Linked DNA regions of Rattus norvegicus. The protein of the gene in region 2 interacts with the protein of the main gene of each other region in a pairwise test. Links are inferred from orthologs where the notes say so. Each region holds a gene or a part of one and is shown on either strand. Other genes may lie near its edges.

Region 1 (4,310 bases), on a different chromosome or scaffold from region 2:
GAGCCCTGCATCGAGGCCATTCTTTCAGTAGTGACTAAAGTGACACTGGAGGTCCCTAGAAACCAGGCCTGTCTGTTCCCTTTTGGTAACTCTTCTTCCCAGTTAAAACTTTGACCCAAGTTAGGAGCAAACACAGAACAGAAAGGACAATGCCATGGCTTTGAACTGTATATAGGCCAGTCCAAATCAAAACAAAACTAACCCCCCCCTCCTCCACCACCCCCAGTCTCCACACATCCCTGCCCCGTCCCATCTGCCACTAGAGCATTAGAGAACAAAAATGTGAAGTAAGAGCCTCAAACTCACAAACTTAGTCAGCACGGTAAAGCTTCCCCGAGTCAATTTCATTAACTGTCACAGGTGTCAAGAGGTTACAGGCTTTGGGCAGAAACCCACCCTGCAGTAGTGGTCTCCACTAAGACTCTCTTGAGAAAAGAATGTCTTTGACCCTACATCATGATGAAACTAATTAGGTTTATTTTATAGAAAAGATTTTCCCCCCAGTCTCTATTGCTTTTTTCCTTAACCTCCTGCCTCAGCCACTTTCAAGTTGTGATTTCCAAGGATTGGTGGCGATTAGCGGTGGTGCTGGCGGGTTGATACATGGCCTCCAGCAGCCTGATTTCGTTCGAGGGTTGCTCAGACTGGAACTTGAGCATCCAGGGGTCCCTGAGGACATCTAGGATGGTGGCACGCTTGGTAGCTGGGCGTAGCAACTGGAGGATCAGGTTCTAGGGCAGGGGAGAGAGAGGGCTTGGCTGAGCTTGTCCCCCTTTGTGAGCACAGGCACTGAGCAGCTGGACCTAAGGAAGAAGCAGGATGGCCCATCGCACTACTCTGGTGAAGGGGGCTGGGGCCCTGGTTTTATGCTGGAGCCCTGCAAGAAAAGAGAAGAGCTCCTTGCATAATCCCTTCTGCCCTAAAGGGATCATTGCTGGAACCTCATTACCAAGCATATTTAAGGCTTGAAGCTCAGTGGTTGACCCTCCTAAGGCCTTCCCACCACTTTGAGTAGGAGCTAGAGCCGGCTCTGGCCTGACCAAAGCCACCCCTGGGGTGGGCGGGTTGTTGGAAGGCCTAAGTTTGGTATTTCCTTCCCCCTCCCCATGGGTCATCCCTAAGGCCACAGCCCTCCTGGGGGAGCCAGCACCTTGCACTCCTGGGAGATGGTGAGATTAGCTGGGAAAGTGACCTCCTTCTGGGTTTCTCTCAGCAGCTTCTTGAGATTGGTGTCATCAAAAGGCAGCCGTGCGACCACTAGGGTGTAGAGGATGACGCCCATGCTCCAGGTGTCAGACAGGAAAGGGTTGTAAGGCAAGCCTAGCAAGATCTCCGGGCAGGCGTAAGCAAAGCTGCCACAGTAGGTCTGGCTGAGGTGGGAAAGGCAGTTCATTTGGCGGTAAGAAGGGCTACTACGCACAGGCTGGCTAGAAGGCACCATCTTGGCGAAGCCAAAATCCGATATCTTCACATTCTCCCGCTTGTCCAGCAACAGGTTCTCCAACTTTAAGTCCCTACCAGCAGCAGAAAGGCTGGGGGTCAGGCTGGGGAGAGGGCTTAGTATTAGACCGGGAGCTGAAAGGAAGGGGTCAGAGGCTAGAGACGAGGACAGGACAAGTGGGAGCGAGGGGTCTATGGGAAGGAAAGAGGAAGCAAAGCCATGGAGTTGTGAGCAGAGCCCAAAAGGGAGAGAGGATGGTACCTTTGGACCACTAGTTCACCATTGTGTATAATGTGCTCTCGCACAGTGGATACAAGTGTCCTTGACCAGAGGGCTACAATATGGTGAACAAATGGACGTATATATCGAGAGAAGTCAAGAGAAAGGGACAGAAAATGGGCAATATGCATAAAACTCCCTCGAGAACCCAGAGCCCAGTGCGGTGACTGTCCTCACCGGTGCACGATGCCCTTGCTGTGCAGGTAAGCGATGCCCAAGGCCATCTGGGAGAACCACTTGCCAGCAAGGGTCTCAGAGCAGGCCCCATAGCGTTGGATCCATTCCAAGACATCACCGCCCTGAGCCAGCTCCAAAATGATGTACACTCGGGACGTGGTCTCAATGGCCTGATAGAAGTTGATGAGGTACTTGTGCCGTAAGACTTTCATTACCTGATCCCAAAAGAGGGAACCATCAAACCTGGCAAACTCCAGTTACGCTGGCCTTTCTCCACTCTCCCATTGCTACTTTGCAACAGAATCAGCTGGTGTCTGAGCAAATCCCACTTTGCATGGGGGGATGGTTAATAAACTGAATGTTTGCACATAAGAGGAGATATGATATATATATATACATACATATATATATATATGTATGTATATATATATATTACAGAATTTTCCTACTTAAGACATTCAGTTCTGGTTTGGAGGTTTCCATATCCACCCCGATACCTCAAGGAGCTCATTAATAAGCCTCGGTTCCCTCTTTCAGCTCCCTTTCTGACCTGTATCTCACGTGGTAGGAACTTGTTAAGGTAGTCTTCAGAGGCCTTCTTCTTTGAGATGATCTTGACAGCCACCATGACCTTCTGCTTGGTGTAGTAAGCCTCATAGACAGTTCCATAGGAGCCATGGCCAATGACCTTGCCCACCTCATAGCCATACTCCTCCATGACAGAGCGATAGGCTGGAGTGGCTGATGCTGTTTCCGAGGTGTCTCCCTTCCCCATGATGTTGGGCTTGCGCAGTGGGGAGCTTTGATACTTAGAAGCCTCTGTCTACCGAGAAGCCACCTTGAGCTTCTGAAGGGAGGGTACTGAAGTGAAGTTAGTGTCCCAGTGTTTACCCAGTCACACAAGTCTGGGATGCTGGGCTTGGCCCTTCACTAAGAACTTGGAAGGGGAAAGAAAAGAACATTCTTTTTGTCTTGGCTGGCTGTTGTTACTTCCATGTCTTAGTTACAGAACTTCCACGGTCCCAAGTTCCATACACCTTTTCTCACTGTTGGCCACGAAGCTTGAAACCAAGTGCAATTTGGAACATATTCATTACAAAAGACACTTTACACAACCGGTAAGTCTCCCCTGTGGCCCCTTTGTTACTGGGTGTCTGCCATGCGGTGGTAGATAATATGCAGAATATACTACATTAAACTAACCACTGAGGTCAACAGTGTCTACACTTCTATAATCCAGCGTGAGAAACTTGTCAGGGTGTACACAGGACTGCACGGTGCTGAAGCACGGTCTGAATTCAGGCTTGCCCTGCATGCTTGCTTCATATGATCGGGGATGCTCTTGGTTTGTCCCATCCTTTCAGTCACTCTCCCATGGGAGCACCATCATCTCCAGTTTTCAGTTTTCTCTTGTTTTCACTGTTGATTAAGCCTAGAGCCTTCCGTTTGCTCCCGTCAACCCCCATTCTCCCAAGCCCCTGTCCATGCCTAAATCACAAGCTTCCTTTTCTCGGACCCTCACTTCCTCCCAGGCTCTTGCCCTAAGATTTCATGTTTATTCTGATGGCTCCTTGTGCCAGTTCCACCCAGATACTTACTGGAGTTCAAGACTGTGCCTATCTGCTTACTTGCTTACTAAATATTACAGGAACATGTCTTCTCTCTGCACCTCAAATTCCTATCCAAACTGAACTATTTCCTACTCTAAGACTTCCATGTTGTCCTGAACATAGACATCAAATATCACACCAGCACTGTCTGCCTTCGTGCCTACATCCAATATATTATATCACCAAATCCCGTCTCTTCAACCTATTTTTTTTTTCATTCATAAAGCCCTTGAAGGGTCTAGAGAGATCACTCAGCAGTTAAGAGCTCTTGCTGTTCAAGCACGAAGACTGGAGTTCAGTCCCAGCTCTGAGCAAGGTGGATGAGAGTATCACTGGGGTTTGCTCACTTCCCACCTACTCCAGAGATGCAAACTTCTGGTTCAGTAAGACCCTGCCCCAAAGGAATAAGGCAAAGAGTGATGGAGGACATCTGATGTCCTCCTTTAGCTTCCATATGAACACGGGTGCATGTTCTTATAGTTACCCATACACCATACATATAAAGATAATGCACTCACAGCTCTATGCCCACTGCCATTTCTGCTCAGCACAACCCCCTATCAATAAACTGGTCACTTGCAAGCCTGCTGCTCCCCTCCAGTTGAAGCATTTATGTATGGACACGTGTGTCCACACATGCAGAGGCCGGAGCAGGACATTGGGTGTTTTCTGGTCACACTTCCTTATAGCCTTGAATCTGCTAGTGACCTGGAAGCTTGCCATTTTGGCTAATGTGGGTAGCCAGTGAGCTTTCTGCATCCACTTATCTCTACTACCCAATTCTGGGGTTACAAGTGTATGGG
Region 2 (3,510 bases):
TCACTGTGCTCCCCAACCACCTTGAATGAATTACAGCATACTTCCCTTTGCATCTTGCTCTACCCTTTCCCTTGTTTTATTAACTCTGCAGCACTTATCCTCACCTGACACATTTTATTTTCTCATAGTGTGTCTCTTCACTCAAGTGTGATCTTCATGAGAACAGAGATGTACTGTTTGCTCACTGCTGCCTTTCATAGCACCTAGAACAATGACTGGCACATAGCACGTGATCAATAAACATTTGTTGAAGAAATGGATGTCATAATTTACACTCATAAAATCTATGAATCTTTTCTGGTACATTTAGACAGCACTATATTGAAATGTGGTCCAAACTGGTAAGTGCCACTACTAACCCTGTATACACTGTGAAACTGCTGTAACTGCTGTCATTTTTGCAAGAATTCTCACATCATCTGTGAGATGTGGTTTATACATACAAGAATAAATTAAGGCAGTAAAGTGAAGCTGTACACAGAATATTAATTAATACAGCTCAGTCTCCAATATTATTATATTGAAATACATCAGCAGAAGTCCTACTATTCTTATTCTCTCACTAGGAGACACATACCTTGTATGTTTTGGAAACTTTATATATAACACTAACACTCTATCATCTGTAAGTCTGAAGGATACCTCACCCTGTTTAATAACCTCTTGTAAGCCACTACTTCCTAGTTATTAACACTAACCACTGGTAGCTGGCTCAAATAACCATGCAAGTTTAACACATTCTCCTGGTTTAGCATATTTCATGAAAAAGAAACACACATTACATCTCCATACAGTCCAGACTTTCAGGAGTCCAGGTTTCCTTTTTCAAACATGTATTTTTAAAGTTATAAGCATAGCTCACTGTGATAAAAATGTTATTCTTGAAAAGACAAACCCAGATTTCTATCAAAGTTAAGGACATTTAATACTTGAGTTTAAATTATTTTGCCCCAAGATAAGAATAAAAGTAAGAATAAAGGCACAATTAAATATCATATTCTATTAATTAAAAACTGTATTATGTATTTTGTAATAGCAAAAACTTTCTGTAAGTGAAAGAGAAGTAAGGGTGATTTGTGCTCAGCATCACTTGACCTATTACTATCCAAAATGGGTCTGGTCTCTAAAACTCTTGACTAGCAGGCCAAGCTCTAGAGAAGAATGCAGGTATGGAGTTAGTGCTGAGATCATATGGAGGATGGCAAGACTGTATTCCCTAAAATACAGGCTAAGTCACAGGACTACTTATCACTGTGGTTTCTCAAAACGAGGCTTTGACTTGGCTAATACTGTCACTGCTTGTTAGTAATGTCCATTCCTAGTATCTTCAGGAAATTCACCGGACAACAGTTCTCTACCCTGAAAGTGTTAAAGCAAACCAGAAGTACAAAGGGAAGAAAAAAGTAGAGGAGGTAACATCAACTCTACAGCTTGACATAATGCTGACGAAACCTGATGTGGGTTTAATGACAAGAACAGCCTGGTTCCAGGACAAAGGAGCAAGCACCTTTCCTCTTCGTGAAAATATCAGTCAGTTCTGGCTACCATACAAGAAAAACACAGCAGATCCACTCTAGAAAACAGCCAAGGCTGAGCAAGAGAAATTAAACATATACCATATAATAAATGCTGAAGAAAAATAGAAGCTTGTTGAATCTTGATATGTTTCTGTATAGTAGGAAGAGTGTGGGGAAAGAAGGGAAAGGAAGAAGTTTGACAGAAACAGTTAGATTTGCTTAGTTCCTGTGGTCAGCAGGTCCCCATTTTAGAAAGGCATTCTCTGTCTAACTACACAGTATTTCAGCAGTTAGGCTTCATGTCTAACTGTCCAGTCCTCAGGAGGTACAGCTTCCTTTTCACAAGGTGTTCGTGCATTCTGGGCTGGCTATCAGCTGGAGGAGAGCTGTTAGAGACCTGAGCAGTAACTAAGCAGTGAGCAGTGCAACAGAGGCGTACAGTTGGACTCAAACCCTGAAATTCCATGTTCACAGAGAAGGACAAAGACATACATAATTTCTCACCTTCCTTTCTAAAAGTAATTTTCTTCAAATCTAGTACCTAGGACTCACCTGAGTTCCGGAGAAAAGTCTTTTTAAGTCCTTACAGGAAGACTGTGAAGTAAAAAATATGAAACGGGAGGCTGGGGTTATGGCCTACTTGCATGAATGTTTAGTCTTTGCTCGCTTTTCCTTCAATTAGCTGATCTGCAAAGAATTGTCCTGTTACTGCTCTTGGGTCCCTAGACCTAAGTAGTCCTCTTCAGATGTCTAGAATGCCTTTATTCCCTTTACCCCAAAGGAGCAACCTCTCCAAAGAATCAGATATGTGATACAATCAATGACCCTCATGATGTACCTTCTAGATACTGTATTATTTCAGAGTTACATACTCTACCTAAAAGTTCAACAGACAATTCGATGTCTGATGTGATCTCTAGTACAAATCTTATCTCAGGTAAGACTATTAATTAATCTTTAGCAACCCTTTCCCCATACAAACTTCGTCTCATTTTAAGTTGATTATCCTTAATTTAGGTACATCAGTCTTACAGTGTTTCCCAACATTTCCACTTATCACATGTATTAATATCTATCTCTCTAAATAAATGCTTTTTCTTTTGAAGCTTAAAAAAAGTAATTTTCTTTAGATATGACTTGGCATATATAACTGAACTATGCAGATTCAACATACTCCTTTACTACCAAGCAAAATAAATCTAAACTAATGTGTCCTTATTTTCACAACTAATGAAAGGAGACAGAAATGGCTACAAACAAGTTATTGAAGTACATATAGAGCTTGTCGCACACATACCTGAACTGTTTGGACTTGTGGAGACTGAATAACTGATGGCTGGGCCGCCTGGATGACCCCATGGACCTGGACTGTCTGCCCATTGGGCAGCTGCACTAAGGTTACAGTGGGAGCAGATGACGTCGCATGAGCTGCTGGCATGGATACCTACAGAAAACACGGAAAGCAATGACCACCACAGCAACCTCTGTGGGACTACTCAGGTTTAACATAAAGTGACTTCTAATAAGCAAAACTATGACCTTCCTACTTAATACATATTTTAACAATGTGCAAGAAACCAACAATTTAAAACTCTTTCCTGCCTGCTTTTTATATTCAAGCTTTCTTTCTTTCTTTTTAAATTAAAGGCTGAGTAATAAGGATTATATTTACTTAAAGACAAAAATATGCCGAGACTGATTCACCCAATGTCAACAACAGACATGCTGGCCTTAAGCACACAAGTTTTCAGAACACCCTGATATTAAACCATGTTTTAAAATCTTAACTTTTCCAGTCTGGGCAATAAGAACTTACTAAGTTCAGAACAACACATTTAGACTAATTACAAATATGTTTTTAACAAGAAAGCAAATGCATTGTAATTAAAATTTTCAATTTCTCCTATTCATAAAAAACACTAATCTGGTAACAGGTGGATTTTAAGACATGTTTTCATTTTGGATGAATAAAGGAGCAGAGCTGAAAGAATAT
Region 3 (4,153 bases), on a different chromosome or scaffold from region 2:
TGGAACTCCCTCTGTAGAAGAGGCTGGCCTCAAACTCACAGAGAGCCTCCTGCCTCTGCTGGGATCGGAGATATGCATCACCACCATGCCTGGCCAATTTTGATTTTTAAATTATGAGTAGTGTGTGCAGCTGCATGTGAGTTCAGGTGCCCAAGATCCCCTTGGAGCTGGAGTCACTGGCAGTTGTAAACTGTCTGCTGTGGATGATGGGAAATGAACATGAGCCCTCAGCCAATGCTGGTACCACAGAGCATCTCTCCAGTCTACCATTTCACTGAGTGGCTAGACAGGCTGGGGTGGGTGGAGCCTTGATATCCTCCTGGCTGAGTTCAGTGGCCTCAGTGCATGCTGGGGACCAAGTCCCTGGGCTTTTTGACAAGCACTTTACCTTACTACACACACCATGACCTCAGCAGCTCCCCCTACACACACACCCCACACACCTTTCTTTTTTCTTCTCTCTCTTCTTTTCTTTTCTTTCTTTCTTTTTGAGATTTGCCTTGCTTTATGGCCTAGGCTATCGTTAAAGACCTCACACTCACAGCAATCTCCCTGCCTCAGCCTTCAGACTGCTGAGAGACAGGCACGTGTGACTGTACCCACCTGTTACATATATTCTGAACTCAGGTTCCCAGGCTTGGTGGACAGCACTTTCACGAAGCGAGCTCTCACCAACTTGCCGCATTATTAATGAGGAATGGGACATGGATGGTTGGAGTGTGGGGACCAACTCCACAAAGACAGAGGGCTGTGATCCCAGAACAGCTGTACCCACAGGGAGGGGATGTGGCTCAGGCTGCTGAAGGACCAAGCTTCTCTAGGGCAACAAAACTGTTCTAGAAGACAGTGGTGTGGTCACATGATTCAAGGAATAAATTTAGAAGCCACGGGTCACAAACAGACCTTACTTCTCAACTACATTCCAACCAGGCTGGTACGTCCTTTCAGGACCTGTCCTCCGAGGACTCAGGAAGCGGAAGCAGGAGTGTCCAAAGTCATCCTCAGCTACTCAGTGAGATCAAGGCTAGCCTGTGCTACATGAGACCTTGCCTCAGTCATCTTTTCCACTCTCAATCCCATGAAGAAACCAGATGTCTGTCAAAACTTCAGCCATGAAGCTCTTTGCTCTGGTTACACTGCAAACATTTGACACCAACTGTATACTGACACCTACTATGTGCTAGAAACAAGAAGCAGACTCGGCTGCCTTCTAAGTGACACAAGGATGACACACTTTTTTGTTTGGTTTGGTTTGGTTTTGGAGATAGAGTTTCTCTGTGTACCTCTGCTGCCCTGGAACTCCCTCAGTAGACCAGGCTGGCCTTGAACTCACAGAGATCTGCCTGCCTCCGCCTTCCGAGTGCTAGGATTAAAGTTGTGCACCACGATCTCCACCCAGCAGATGACACACTGCCCTTTCTCAATGCCTTTTTCAATATGCTAAGGGAGAACACGTGTCCCCCCTCCTGAGGGCTCTGGGGACAGAGTCTGGTTGAAAGTGAGGAAGCCACCACATTCAAATGCTCATTTTGTCTATGATGCCACAATCTTGGAAAAACAAGCACCTGATTATAAAACCACCTGACCCAAAGGAGCCCCTGATGAATCAAAGCCTCACTTAAGTGCCCCTGACAGGTCACGTGGGACTCAGAACCCAGGCCTAAGGGTGTGCAGAACATGCCACACTGCAGCATCACCTCCTTGACCCTTGAGGAACATCTGACACCACACACTTGACATGAAAGGATCAGGTCCCACGTCCACTCCATTTGGCCAAGAACCCAGCAAGGCCAGACATGCTTGTCAAATGGCCCAGCCACCTGAGGCAGTTACACCCTCCATCTCAGTCTGGTGGCAGCTGTTCCCTGTCATGAATAGAGGCCCACAGCCTGGTCCCCAGCACAGAGGCTGCATGGGAACCAAGCAACCACCTCTATGCTGATTCCAAACATGGAAGACCACTCAGCTACCCAAGAGGGATAACATCTGCTCCACGCAGAAGTAGGAGCACCCAAGGAAGGAACAGGTGATGATGCTACAGTATCACCTCCTCCTCAGGTGGCAAAGGCGTGACAACTGTGCCTCAGATAACGATGAAGGGACACCTCTCCTTTAAGTAGAAATGAAGGGTGACAACCGTCCACTCAGGTAGCAATAATGGAGACCTGTCCACTAAGCATAAAGGGTGACAACTATACCCTCAGGTAGCAACAATGGGGCCGCTTATCCACATAGATAACACAACGGGAACAACTATCCCTGAAGGTAGCAATGGTGGGGCCACCTATCCCCACAGGTGGCAATGAAGGATGACACCTGCCCCACCAGGTAGCAATGATGGAGTCGTAGGTCCTATGAGGTAGCAATGATGGAGTCCCTGTACCATCAGGTAGCAATCAGGGGGGTGACACGTGTCCATTCTGATAGCTATGAAGAGGGCACATGTCCCCTCCGGCAACAATAATAGATGACACCTGTCCCCTCAGGTAGCTGCGATGGGACCACCTGTCCAGTCCAAAGAGCAATCTCGCGAGCAGCCGCTCTGCACCGGCTGGCGGCGTGGGGACACCTGCGGCGGCCGCAGCCCCGCCCCCGCGTCTCTTCCTCCTCCCCTCCCTCCTCCCCTCCCCTCCCCCGCGCTCTCACCCGCGCGGCTCGCGTCAGGCTCAGGTCCTTCATGACCTCCTCGAAGGCCGCCGTCTCCTCCGCCTGCTTCTGGTTGTGCAGTGCGATCTTCTCGCTAAATTTCCGCGGATTGTTCGAAGTCGCCATCTTCTCGCCGCCTCCTCCTCCTCCTACTCCTCCTCCACCTCCTCGCCCCCCCACTCGCGGGCGCCACAGCGCAGGCGCCGGCCGGGCCCACGGCCGGAGAGCAACGCGCAGGCGCATGCATGGCCCAGAGCGTAGCGCAGGCGCACCGGAGAGGCATGAGGCGCGGAGGTGGGGGGTGTAGGTGAATACGCCTGCGCTGCCTGGGCAGTGCGTTGGGAGCCCGGGAGGGGAGTGGCTACGCAGGCGCACGGTAGCGCGCGTGGCCCGCTGGACAGCGGTCGCCTAGTTGTGGGTCCTGTCCCATCAACCAGGGACTTGAGTGGCGAAGAACTGATACCTGCATTCACTGGAATCCAGCATTCACTGAGGACTTGTAGAGCGTCTGCTGTATACCAGGGCACAGGCGTGAGCAAACAGAAGTGGTTCCTGGGCTAATGGGGTACACAGCCGGGGAGGGGAGCAAGCCTCCTACCAGGAATGGAGGCAGGGGTCCTGGGGAGAGTTCCCAGGCAGAAGCCAGGGTTCGGTCCCCAGCAACACACACACACACACACACACACACACACACACACACACACACACACACACACACAATTATAATAAGGCTTCAGATGGTAGAAGTGTTGCGCCTTCTGCAAGGACAGTGCTGAGTGTGATGGTTGAACCAGCTGGAGCCAGGGGGATGGGAAGTTCAAACCATCCTGTGACACATGACACTGAGATTAGAGAAAAAAAAGAAAGAAAAGAGGGGGCTGGAGAGATGAGAGATGGCTCAGAGATTAAGGGTGACTTTGTGATTCCGTGGGGCAGCTCACTCTGGTTCTAAAGTATCTAATGCCTTCCTCCGGCCTCGGCAAGAAGTTAAATACATATGTAGCATGTGCACACACACAGATGCATAAGCAAATTTTTTTAAATTTACAATTAGAGCTAAGGACAGGCATGGTGGCACGTGCCTTTAAACCCAGCAGAGGCAGGCAGTTCTCTGTGAGTTCAAAGCCATCCTGGTCTACAAAGCAATTACCAGAACCATCAGGGCTACCCAGAGAAACCCTCTCTCAGGAAAACAAAACAAAACAAAACAAAACAAAAAAACAAATGAAAAAAATTAGAACTTTAGAGAAGGCTCCGTCATAATAGCATTGACTGTACCAAGTAGGAGGAGCTGAGTTCAAATCTCCAGCTGGGCATGGCCATGGGTGCCTGTGACCTCCGTGTTAGCGAACTGCAGATAGGAACTGGCCAATCATTCTACTGAAAGATGAGCTGCAAGTTCAGTGAGAGGCTCTGCCTCTAAGGAACTGATAGAAGGGATTAGAAAAATACACCAGACACCGTCCTCTGTACACATGTACACACACAGACACACATGCAGTGCTGA

Evidence for each region.
Region 1: the proteins of Creb1 (region 2) and Tssk4 interact in binary tests that used the Homo sapiens proteins (3 or more experiments, as listed by UniProt). The link is inferred for Rattus norvegicus from reciprocal best matches to the Homo sapiens genes CREB1 and TSSK4.
Region 3: the proteins of Creb1 (region 2) and Crtc1 interact in binary tests that used the Homo sapiens proteins (3 or more experiments, as listed by UniProt). The link is inferred for Rattus norvegicus from reciprocal best matches to the Homo sapiens genes CREB1 and CRTC1.

The regions. Positions count from the first base shown.
Region 1 is NC_086033.1:33,110,228-33,114,537, reverse strand, and holds Tssk4 (testis-specific serine/threonine-protein kinase 4), read right to left. Parts: upstream 2,805-4,310; 5' UTR 2,673-2,804; coding exon 2,448-2,672; intron 2,113-2,447; coding exon 1,898-2,112; intron 1,576-1,897; exon of another isoform or gene 1,545-1,575; coding exon 1,151-1,544; intron 878-1,150; coding exon of another isoform or gene 833-877; exon of another isoform or gene 732-832; coding exon 546-731; 3' UTR 455-545; downstream 1-454. UniProt on the Homo sapiens protein: Serine/threonine kinase which is involved in male germ cell development and in mature sperm function. May be involved in the Cre/Creb signaling pathway. Phosphorylates CREB1 on 'Ser-133' in vitro and can stimulate Cre/Creb pathway in cells.
Region 2 is NC_086027.1:73,421,719-73,425,228, reverse strand, and holds part of Creb1 (cyclic AMP-responsive element-binding protein 1), read right to left. Parts: exon of another isoform or gene 2,962-3,510; coding exon 2,815-2,961; exon of another isoform or gene 2,112-2,814; coding exon of another isoform or gene 2,070-2,111; exon of another isoform or gene 114-2,069; coding exon of another isoform or gene 105-113; exon of another isoform or gene 1-104.
Region 3 is NC_086034.1:19,020,861-19,025,013, reverse strand, and holds the start of Crtc1 (CREB-regulated transcription coactivator 1), read right to left. Parts: upstream 2,805-4,153; 5' UTR 2,773-2,804; coding exon 2,647-2,772; intron 1-2,646. UniProt on the Homo sapiens protein: Transcriptional coactivator for CREB1 which activates transcription through both consensus and variant cAMP response element (CRE) sites.